3 linked regions of the Schizosaccharomyces pombe genome follow. The protein of the gene in region 1 purifies or fractionates together with the protein of each later gene. This does not show direct contact. Each region holds a gene or a part of one and is shown in the gene's direction. Other genes may lie near its edges. The genes, in order: cid13, rad25 and pabp.

The links.
Region 2: the proteins of cid13 (region 1) and rad25 purify together in Schizosaccharomyces pombe (affinity purification with mass spectrometry, with the first as the bait; one study listed by BioGRID). This does not show direct contact.
Region 3: the proteins of cid13 (region 1) and pabp purify together in Schizosaccharomyces pombe (affinity purification with western blotting; one study listed by BioGRID). This does not show direct contact.

Annotation. Positions count from the first base shown.
Region 1 is NC_003424.3:984,854-988,609, reverse strand, and holds the start of cid13 (cytoplasmic poly(A) polymerase Cid13), read left to right. Parts: upstream 1-1,589; 5' UTR 1,590-1,862; coding exon 1,863-3,599; 3' UTR 3,600-3,756. Other genes in the region: tif308 (translation initiation factor eIF3h (p40)), read right to left, coding at 42-148, 188-213. UniProt on the Schizosaccharomyces pombe protein: Polymerase that creates the 3' poly(A) tail of suc22 mRNA.
Region 2 is NC_003424.3:3,582,774-3,586,529, reverse strand, and holds rad25 (14-3-3 protein Rad25), read left to right. Parts: upstream 1-1,688; 5' UTR 1,689-1,750; coding exon 1,751-1,817; intron 1,818-2,534; coding exon 2,535-3,280; 3' UTR 3,281-3,402; downstream 3,403-3,756. Other genes in the region: vacuolar CorA family magnesium ion transmembrane transporter Mnr2, read right to left, coding at 1-95; rrp1 (ATP-dependent DNA helicase), read right to left, coding at 3,614-3,756. UniProt on the Schizosaccharomyces pombe protein: Acts in cell cycle and stress checkpoint signaling by sequestering signal transducers regulated by the checkpoints. Required for the DNA damage checkpoint that ensures that DNA damage is repaired before mitosis is attempted.
Region 3 is NC_003424.3:1,540,777-1,544,532, forward strand, and holds the start of pabp (major poly(A) binding protein Pabp/Pab1), read left to right. Parts: upstream 1-2,009; 5' UTR 2,010-2,088; coding exon 2,089-3,756. UniProt on the Schizosaccharomyces pombe protein: Binds the poly(A) tail of mRNA. Appears to be an important mediator of the multiple roles of the poly(A) tail in mRNA biogenesis, stability and translation. In the nucleus, involved in both mRNA cleavage and polyadenylation.

The DNA of each region.
Region 1 (3,756 bases):
CGAAAAATAGGGAAAACTTATTCTCCAATGACTACACTTACCAATTGTTCCCATATTAGGAAAAGAATCACGGCAGTGCTTGATGATATTCATTACAAGTAAAGATTCTAATTCCACCCGCTCAATAGGGGGAGACTCCAATTCTGGACTACTGAATTAGTTATTTATATATCTTAGTCATTCTTACACATTCAATGAAGTTGTATCAGACATGTTTTTTAAGTCTGCCAAGTAGTTGGTTGAAGTGCAAATTGCTGTACGAACTTCTAAAGGAGTTAGTGTTCACCAGTTTAATGACAAGTAACAACAAGTAGCAACTTTTTAAAGCCATGGCTGTCGGCGATTACAAGTTATAGAATAGAGGAGCCTACCAGTTTTATTAAACCTTTTCTAACTAGTTAAAAAATTTGTAAATTTTTTTTTTGTTTTCTCGGCCTTAAGCTCTATTTTCATGACTTCTTTTACTAATTTACCGAAATATGATTTTCATGCTTATTGTAATTTAAGAGCAGCTTCACCGCCTTGCAAAGTCTTTTTAATATAGTGTAATTGACACTGCATTATACTTGAAAGTTCAACATTATTCGTTGATTGGAAATGAATGTGACTGCTTTTCCGTTATATTTACTATATATACGGGTCATTATCCTCAACAAAACACTATCGACGATACTCCATAGGATCATTTCTATAGTATACGTCCGGCTTGGGTTTCCTAACCTAGCCACAGAACTCAACACGGATGATGATAGGAGGCACCGTTGCCCTCAGAGTGAGGACTTTTAATTCTTTGAAGGCATGCTTTTCGATTAGGTTTTTTACCTAATTGTTTTGCTGTCTTTCTATGCGATGATCTCTTACATGATATGTTTCCTTTTGGTCGTATTATGTAGGGCAGCTGGTGTTTTCTGACGTGTTTAATTTCATCTATTATATTACAACTGTGGTGTCGTTTGATGACATAGATGTAATTTCTAGATGAAGTTGTGTCATGTTTTAGCGTAGATTTTAGTGAATAAATGAAACGATTTCAAATTCCGTTAGATTGTTTGATTTATGTTTCTTATTAAAGGAGTCAATTGTATGGTATTTGGAGTTAGATGGATAGCTTACTTGGCGGCGTTTTTTATTTAATATTGTCTGCTGTACATTCGTTAGTAGTAAAGTATTACACGAACGTTTCCACTCAATTGGAAAGTCAAGTCCATGCTTTGTGGGAGCAACATTGATCATGTATGTTTATGTATTGCTAGTTTGTTTATAGAATAACGCAGATTACGGAATCACGCTATTTAACGTCAAAACGTCAAGAAAGGTGTCAATTATGCTCGTTGTCATGCCAACGTCATTGTTTGCGTTTTTTCTTTGATGATTACTTTGTTTATTGTTTTCAGTTGAAGATTGTAAAAATATCATTAGCTGAACGTTGCTTTAAAGGTGTCTTACGTGAATATATTAAGGTTACTTTATAACGGCGTTGTATATTCATTTGTTACTTATTTACCGATCCTATGTTGATGCCGTACTTGTTCCTTGTGTAGGAAAGCTGATACCTATGTACGTACGTATTGCTGTTAGGCGGTTCTTTTATCCCACACCTCTTCCTAAGAATAGCTACAAACATTACCAACTTCATATTAATTCATCAATACGATCTTGAAACTTAGAAGTACTTCTAAATTGTCTTTTCTTGTCGATAGGGCTCGTACATTTGAACTGTTCTTGCTGGATCGTTTCAGATCAAAGCTGATCATATTACAAAGAACTCACGCCTTTACTAGCTGACAAGGTAGGATAACGTCGGAATCCATAGAGAATTTGCAACTTATTAAACCTTAGAAGCTTCTTACCCTCTTAATACTATGGACAACGCTAATTGCGTTGGCGGTTGCAAATTTGAAACTCGCAGCTTTCAATATAGAAGGCGTATTCCTTATAGCCTCGGTGCGGATCCACTTCCGCCAGTACATCCTCTATCATTAAAGAATTTAGTTGATATTGATACTGATCTAATTTCTTCTCAACTGTACGAGTTGTATGACTCTATTATACTGAACGACTCGGGTTTAGAACGTCGATATGCATTTGTGCAGAAACTCGAACAAATATTGAAAAAAGAATTCCCCTATAAAAATATCAAAACCTCCCTTTTTGGGTCAACCCAATCTCTTCTTGCCAGCAATGCATCAGACATTGATTTGTGTATCATTACTGATCCGCCTCAATGTGCTCCAACGACCTGCGAGGTGTCAGCTGCCTTTGCTAGGAACGGACTTAAAAAGGTCGTTTGCATTTCAACAGCTAAAGTGCCAATTGTAAAGGTTTGGGACTCAGAATTACAACTATCATGCGATTGCAATATCAATAAAACTATATCTACCTTAAACACGCGTTTGATGCGCTCTTACGTTCTTTGTGATCCCCGAGTTCGGCCCTTGATTGTTATGATTAAATATTGGGCAAAAAGACGATGCTTGAATGACGCTGCCGAGGGCGGTACACTCACTTCTTACACCATAAGCTGTATGGTTATAAACTTTTTACAAAAGCGCGATCCACCGATTCTTCCCAGCTTGCAAATGCTTCCTCATTTACAAGATTCGTCTACTATGACTGACGGGCTGGATGTGTCGTTTTTCGACGATCCAGATCTTGTTCATGGTTTTGGTGACAAAAACGAGGAGTCTCTTGGTATCCTGTTCGTAGAGTTTTTTCGATTTTTTGGTTATTTATTTGATTACGAGCATTTTGTTTTATCCATTAGACACGGTACCTTTCTTTCGAAACGAGCAAAAGGATGGCAATTTCAGCTTAACAATTTTCTGTGTGTTGAAGAGCCTTTCCATACATCTCGAAATCTAGCTAATACTGCAGATGAGATTACCATGAAAGGAATACAATTGGAATTTCGACGTGTTTTCCGTCTTTTAGCGTATAATTGCAATGTCGACGATGCTTGTTCGCAATTTACTTTTCCCTCTCTAACTGACACAAGCTTTATGGACGATTATGTAAATGAACTACAATTGGAAATAGTTCCTGGTTTCTCCCATGGTCGTGACTCTTCGGACACCAGCTGTACAGAATCCCCTCCTGAGCCATCACATTTTGCTTGGGCCTTTGATCCTTATAATGCAACCGCTTCTCCCTATTATAATCAGAATATTAATTCATCCATTGACTACTCTTCTATATACTCAAACGACGTCCCTGCAATCCCTCCCAATGTCCCTTATACCTTTGTTGACCCTTACACCTATGCATGCTATATTAATAATAATAGCTATCTTCCACCCTCATACATGGACTTTTATACATGGTATAATTCTCCCTACCCCAAATCTTCACACCATTTTGATGAGAGGCATGGCGGGGATCGTCACGAAAAAAATTTGTCTAATTCTCGGCGATATTCTCGCAATAAGTTTCACAAAAAGAAGCAATCTTCGGGTCCATTCCAGTACTATCCTGATGCCTTCTCTTTTACTCCTACGGATAACAATTCACCTCCTTCAAATTCCTCTTCTTCTGAAGTAGTATCGCCAGTTAGCTTACACAGTGAGCCGGTATTATCCACAGTACAAGCATTCAAGAGTTGATGCTGAAGGTTTGGTGACGTTCGCTGATGGTTCGTTAGTAGCTATCTTTCTATCTTAATTTTTCTAATTCATACTTTTTACATTATTTTTGCATATTGATTTCGCCAATACTTGAGCCTTATTCGCTTGCCCGCTTTCGTTTATCTTTGTTGTCCAC
Region 2 (3,756 bases), 2.6 Mb from region 1:
TGTTTACGATCAGAAAATCTAGGCCTGTTCTGCATCCTAGCATTTTGTTTGTAATAAAAGCCCGTAGGCACTGACCGGGATGTATTGGATGGCATAATTCAAACAGGATTATGGATGCTAAGAATTGACAGGTTGTATAGCAATGAATGTATTATTCTTGGTTTATCAAAATAGTTATAATGCCAAAGAGATCGAATAGCGTTTGGTTTAACAAACTAACGGTTTGTGGATTATTTATATAATTACTCTATTGGTGAGAAAGAGAGGATTTCTGCCCACATTTGATTGAGAGGTTTGAATTTATTAAAAATATTTAAAGAATAATTTCACAAAACTCAAACAACAGAGGAAATGCCAATTTTTAGAGATGTGTTGTTGAGGTGTGGCAGCTAAGACGCTTATCATTGATATGGAAGGCAATTTTTTAAAGACCCCCAAATCATATACCAGACAAAATACAGTATCTTTAAGCATAGTTTTGTTTAATTTCATCAATATTTTTGAAGTGTATTTGTAAGAATCCAATGCAGCATAATTAAATTCATTTCCGGCCTACACATATTGAACCAGGTTCAAATTGGTGCAAATTAATTATTTTCTTGTAAGGATGAATAGAATTGGTTAGTAAATTCTGCTGAAGTTGCACATAAGAGGACGGTTTTGTTTACTAGACAAAATAAGTACCGCGACTTATAAAAAATCTTATCCCAACCAGATTGTCCCTTGTAACAATTTAAAATCCTACTTTTCGTATTACCGCGCAATCAAGTTGCCCACAACGGGACTGCAGCATTGCAGTAGAAACCCCATCAAACGTGTAAGTGAAATGAGCGAACAATAACCCTGAAATTATAAAGTCGTATTATCTTGTTTAAATCAACTCATACCTTTTTCATATAAGAATATCGTATTGTTTCAGGATAACAGAAACAATTTCAGGGAAACTTGAAAGGTTTATGATAAACGCAGTATGCAATTTTAGAACAACGAGAATTAAAAAACTTTACATTTAAGCCAAGAAGTATTAAGTTTAAAATACACAAGTTGAAGGAGCAATTAATCAGCACAATGTAATTTGATCTTTTTTGTTCGTAAAATTACCGTTTGCGGTAATCACCAATCTGTGATGACAACGCCGAAAAGCAGCTTACATAATAACACACACTTTTCAGCTCACTGTACTCCTTTGTAGTCAATGTAATATAATGGAATTTCGCCGCCTCCTACGGATATTCAAGCATATCGCATATGCCATCGAAAACTAAAGAAAAACGCCTTCTTCTTGAAGCTTCCTGCATAGAGTGATAAAAAACCTTCTAAAACTTCTTTGCCCCTAAAGTAAGCCTCTTGTTTCTGTCAAGCTTCCTCAATTATTGCACTCATTGTTTTAACTGTAATCTTTCACGCTTATGTTTGATACTTGGTATCTTGTTTTCGAAAGAAAAACTTATTGTAACATACTTTAAGACAGCAATTCCTCATTCAGTGAGTAAAAACGCGTTTTCTACCGAATTCCTATTGACACTGGGCATTTGTTTGGCATTTGTTTTTGGAAGCCTAATCATACGTGTAAGAAGTATTTTTACGATATTGTAAAAGAATAAGAGAGGTGTAGTGATGTTTCTGTTAGATATCCATAAATCTCAGTATAGTCCGTCATATATTCGGCTGACCAACCAACCTTCCCAACTTTCCTTTCTCACTTCTACCAACCTCAACTAACCACCGCTTTTAATAATTCCTTGCAAATATGAGTAATTCTCGTGAAAACTCGGTGTATCTCGCCAAGTTGGCCGAACAGGCTGAACGCTACGAAGGTATGTGATAAGGATCCGCTGTTGGAAGTAGATATAGCGTAATAGTACGAAATTGTCAATGAAGGGACCTTGATGAAAAGTTATTATATTGCAGTTTGCTACTGTATGTGGGAGTTCTTTGGTTTTTTAATATTGTTGGTCTTGAACAGGTTGCGTTGTTGAATGTTGCAAGGTTGTTTGTTTGATGCGGCTGAGAAAAAGAGGGGTTATGGGTTAGTACGTGGATGACTTGTGTATTTTAAAATGTCCCCAAAATCGCTTGATGAGGTTTAAAATGAGTTCTTACAACATTGTTTTGTTGTTGGACATGTTTATGATATCTGAGGTTATGGACAAGAACGGCTTGCAATTCTCTTGATTTTATGGTTTTCGTAATCATTATTTTTTGTCGCCTTTGTTCTATTTCCTACCTTGCTTCCTTTTTTCTCTTAAAACCACGATTGAACTGCCTTGATTGTCTTATCATTCTTATCTCCTCTTATGATTTGAGGTTTCTTTGTAACCACCAAGACAAAGAAATTCACTAACATCAGGAGTAACACGAAACACCGTTCTGTAGGTAAACCTCAACGCAATTAAGGATATTATTACCTTCATATCTTCACCATGCAATGATAACTCGTTTTGAATTACTGTTTGTTGACCCGTCTATACTTGGCTTTGCTTCTTTCATCTCTCCTTTTTGTTTTTGCTTCTTTGCTAACTGATAATGTATAGAAATGGTCGAAAATATGAAGAAAGTTGCATGCTCAAACGATAAACTTTCTGTTGAAGAACGTAACTTGCTTTCTGTTGCCTATAAAAACATCATTGGTGCTCGCAGAGCATCATGGCGTATTATTTCCTCTATAGAGCAAAAGGAGGAAAGTAGGGGCAACACTCGACAAGCCGCATTGATTAAAGAGTACCGTAAGAAGATTGAAGATGAGTTATCCGATATTTGTCATGACGTCCTTTCCGTCCTTGAAAAGCATTTGATTCCTGCCGCTACAACCGGTGAATCCAAGGTATTTTACTATAAAATGAAGGGTGATTACTATCGTTATTTGGCCGAATTTACTGTTGGCGAAGTTTGCAAAGAGGCCGCCGACAGCTCTTTAGAAGCTTACAAGGCAGCTTCTGACATTGCTGTTGCTGAGTTGCCTCCCACGGACCCTATGCGCTTGGGTTTGGCTCTCAACTTTTCCGTCTTCTATTATGAAATCCTTGACTCTCCAGAAAGTGCATGCCATTTGGCTAAACAAGTATTTGATGAGGCCATTTCAGAGCTCGATAGTCTTTCTGAAGAATCTTACAAAGACTCTACTTTAATCATGCAGCTTCTTCGCGATAACTTGACTTTATGGACTTCTGACGCCGAATACAACCAGTCTGCTAAGGAGGAGGCTCCTGCTGCCGCTGCTGCTTCTGAAAACGAACATCCCGAGCCCAAAGAGTCTACGACTGACACTGTTAAAGCTTGAAACTAAAGCGTTAGCATTTTATCAGTAAACGGATCCTAATGGTCTGATTACTTTTGCATATATGAACTGATACCTATGATTTATCTAATATTCGTAGCCATATAACAAAGTTATCTTCATTATATTCTTCTTGCACTTTATTTCTATCATTTATAAATTTATAACTTTGATTACGTTTCATGAGTAGTTAGTTTGGCTTTGTGGCCTTAAAACCATCAAAGCATACTATTATTATACATTGTACATGCGTTACACTACACCACCCCTTTTTTTAACGTTTAGTTTAGTATGCAGTAGAGTATAGTTCATTTGAGTAACGTTAACATTAAATAATCATGAATTAAGCCCAAATAGATATAGCAACTCTTCTTTGTCAAGTCTCGACAGAGGATTGTTTTCGTTTGAATCCAAAGCTTCTTTAACCAATTGACGCTTCTTACGTTGAACACTGACGATACGCTCTTCAATCGTATCTT
Region 3 (3,756 bases), 560 kb from region 1:
CTAAGAGACACGACTAGGCAGACCCTCCACGATGTCTAAGTGTACAATATGGTAAGAGAGTAGAGGACGTAGTGTTTGATCAGCATGTCTATTGACGGAGAATCGGACATGCCCAATTTGAAAATAGGGTTGCAGGAAAAAGTGGCTTGAGGAGATGTAACGAGAAAAAAAGATTTGGCGATGATGGAGAGAGATGGAAAATATAAGAGATGAATGACAAGAGGGGATCTTGCAGCACTGTAGTTAAAAGAAGGAGGGTTTAATGATTTTTGGTTGTAATTGAACAGATGTAGTGAATATGAATAAAAATACAAACCATGTATATAGTCTATTTTTCAATACTCTACTATTTTTTCCCTTTTTACTTTGCTTGTATCATTACAAAGTGATATAGTTCGTATACTTGAAAATTATTGAGAGTTTGGTACGATTGGTTGAGACATTGCCTCAAAAAAGCGCAACACTTTCAATTCCAATACCGATTCGAGCGCTACTTTTTTTTTTATTATTATTAGTGACTCATTACTCACAAGTAACTAAGGTACTAGTACGGAAACCCTTCTTCCTCTTCCCTAACCCACTTTTCCATTCGGCCACTTTTGGCTCTCGCTTCTGCCCATTTCGTTTTCTCCTGTCCTTTTCCTTTTTATCTACCCTTTTTCGGTTATATATATCCGCCATTGCTTACTGAGACAGTTTTTTTTTTTTTTTTTTTTTTTTTTTTAACCGCTTATAAATTGCTCGTCCTCATTTTCTTTTTCTCCCATAATCTATCTCCTGCTATCTTTTACACTTGCCATCACGCTCGGCTCTTACCCATACCTTTACGTCCATGGAAGGGTTATTGGGGTGCCTTGGATAGCGCTAAACTTCCTCATGATTTCCTATCCCCTCGTCCCCCCAACTTTGTCACTCACTTCCATTTTTACATCATCTGCGCTTACTGTCCCCATATACGATAAAGGGCGCTTGTGTCGCCCATGCAAATCCATATTCGACACATTCAAGCTTAAATTTCCGTACTGCGCAAAGTTGTCGTCGCTTTTCGATATGCTGTAAATAGCGTAAGCACGGTAAAATGTGTTAAATTGAGTTTCAAGATTTTGGCGATGAGAGAGATGCGAAATGCGACATAACGAGTTATAAGAGGAAAACAAGGCAAAAAAATAAATAATAGCGTACTCAATGTCGTCTCATGATCATAATCGTATATGTAAACAACTTGGTTTTATGTATCTCGTTCCAACACTGTTTCGATAGTCTTTTTCAGTTATAGTCTAGTTACAAAAAAAGAGAGAAAAGAAAAGAAATCAAAACAAAACAAAATTAAAAGCAATTGCAATAAAAATTTCCAACTTATTCTCTACCACCCAATTGATTTTTTATACACACATTCATAATCTTTCTACGATTTATCTGTTTGTTCAATTGAACCATATGCATAGTCAAGTTCCTATAATACTCTGTCGTCCTGCCAACATAAAATTTCACATACATTGTCCCGTAAAATTCCACTCTTTGTTTTGCTTTTATGACACGTCTATCCTAATCCCTGTGCTTTCTTTGTTCGGAATTTCACCTCCTTTTACTCTTTTGCCTACCATTTGTGCGTGTCTCAAATAACCTATTTAGTGTGCCGATATCACATACCAAATCTATTCCTTATACTGTAGTTGTAGAAACTCATTTATTAAAGTATATTTACGACATTTCGTTGAGATTCCTTGTTTGTTTTGGTAGAAAGGAAATCCCCATCTCATCGAAATTTTCCCCAAAATTTAAACAAGCACTCTTGCACTGCAATTCCATATTTTTTCCTTCCAAAAATTTTTTCGCCTTTTCCTTTGTTTTCTTTTGCCTTTTCTTTTATGGTAATTCTTTGATTTCTGCCTTACTTTACGTAGTGTACTCACATTTTATTTATTAAGTTGGGTTTTCTTTCGGAGTTCAAGATACCGGAGTACAGTGCTGTGATTTAAATTTTCGCCCACCACACATTCCTTCCTTCGCAAACCACAAAACCTATAAATTTAAAAAAATCTCGAAAAATATCATAAAAGCCCAAGTTTTTAAAATTCTGAAAACGCCATGCCTTCCACGGATCTTAAGAAGCAAGCTGATGCCGCCGTTGAGAGCGATGTAAATACCAACAACGAGGCTGTTGAGTCTTCTACCAAGGAGGAGTCTTCCAACACTCCTTCCACCGAAACTCAACCCGAGAAGAAGGCAGAGGAGCCTGAAGCCGCTGCCGAACCCTCCGAGTCTACCTCTACCCCTACTAATGCTAGTTCGGTTGCCACTCCCTCTGGCACTGCTCCCACCAGTGCTTCCTTGTACGTTGGTGAGCTCGATCCCTCCGTCACTGAGGCTATGCTTTTTGAGCTGTTTAACAGTATTGGACCCGTTGCAAGTATTCGTGTTTGCCGTGATGCCGTTACTCGCCGTTCTTTGGGTTATGCCTATGTCAACTTCCACAATATGGAAGATGGTGAGAAGGCCTTGGATGAGCTTAACTATACTCTCATCAAAGGACGTCCTTGCCGCATCATGTGGTCTCAACGTGACCCATCCTTGCGTAAAATGGGTACTGGTAACGTTTTCATCAAAAACTTGGATCCTGCCATCGACAACAAGGCTTTACACGACACTTTCTCCGCCTTTGGTAAGATTTTGTCCTGCAAGGTTGCTGTTGATGAGTTAGGTAATGCTAAAGGTTACGGTTTTGTGCATTTTGACTCGGTCGAGTCTGCCAATGCTGCTATCGAGCATGTCAATGGCATGCTTTTGAACGACAAAAAGGTTTATGTCGGTCATCATGTTAGCCGCCGTGAGCGTCAATCCAAGGTTGAGGCTTTGAAGGCAAACTTTACCAACGTCTACATTAAGAACCTTGACACCGAAATTACCGAACAAGAGTTCTCCGACCTCTTTGGTCAATTCGGTGAGATCACCTCTCTCTCTCTTGTCAAGGATCAGAATGACAAACCTCGTGGTTTTGGTTTCGTCAACTATGCCAACCACGAATGTGCTCAAAAGGCCGTTGATGAGCTCAACGACAAGGAGTACAAGGGTAAGAAGCTTTATGTTGGTCGTGCTCAAAAGAAGCATGAGCGCGAAGAGGAGCTTCGTAAGCGTTATGAACAAATGAAGCTTGAGAAGATGAACAAATATCAAGGTGTCAATTTGTTCATTAAAAACTTGCAGGACGAGGTTGACGATGAGCGTCTTAAGGCTGAATTTTCTGCCTTTGGAACCATCACTTCTGCCAAGATCATGACCGATGAGCAAGGCAAGTCTAAGGGTTTCGGTTTCGTTTGCTACACCACTCCTGAGGAGGCCAACAAGGCTGTTACTGAGATGAACCAGCGTATGCTTGCTGGTAAGCCCCTTTACGTTGCTTTGGCTCAACGTAAGGAGGTTCGCCGTAGTCAGTTGGAGGCTCAAATCCAGGCGCGTAACCAATTCCGTTTACAACAACAAGTTGCCGCTGCTGCCGGCATTCCCGCTGTTCAATATGGTGCCACTGGTCCTCTTATTTACGGTCCTGGTGGTTATCCTATTCCTGCTGCCGTCAATGGTCGTGGTATGCCTATGGTTCCTGGACATAATGGCCCTATGCCTATGTATCCTGGCATGCCCACTCAGTTCCCTGCTGGAGGTCCCGCCCCTGGCTATCCCGGTATGAACGCTCGCGGTCCCGTCCCCGCTCAAGGCCGTCCTATGATGATGCCTGGTTCCGTTCCTTCTGCTGGTCCT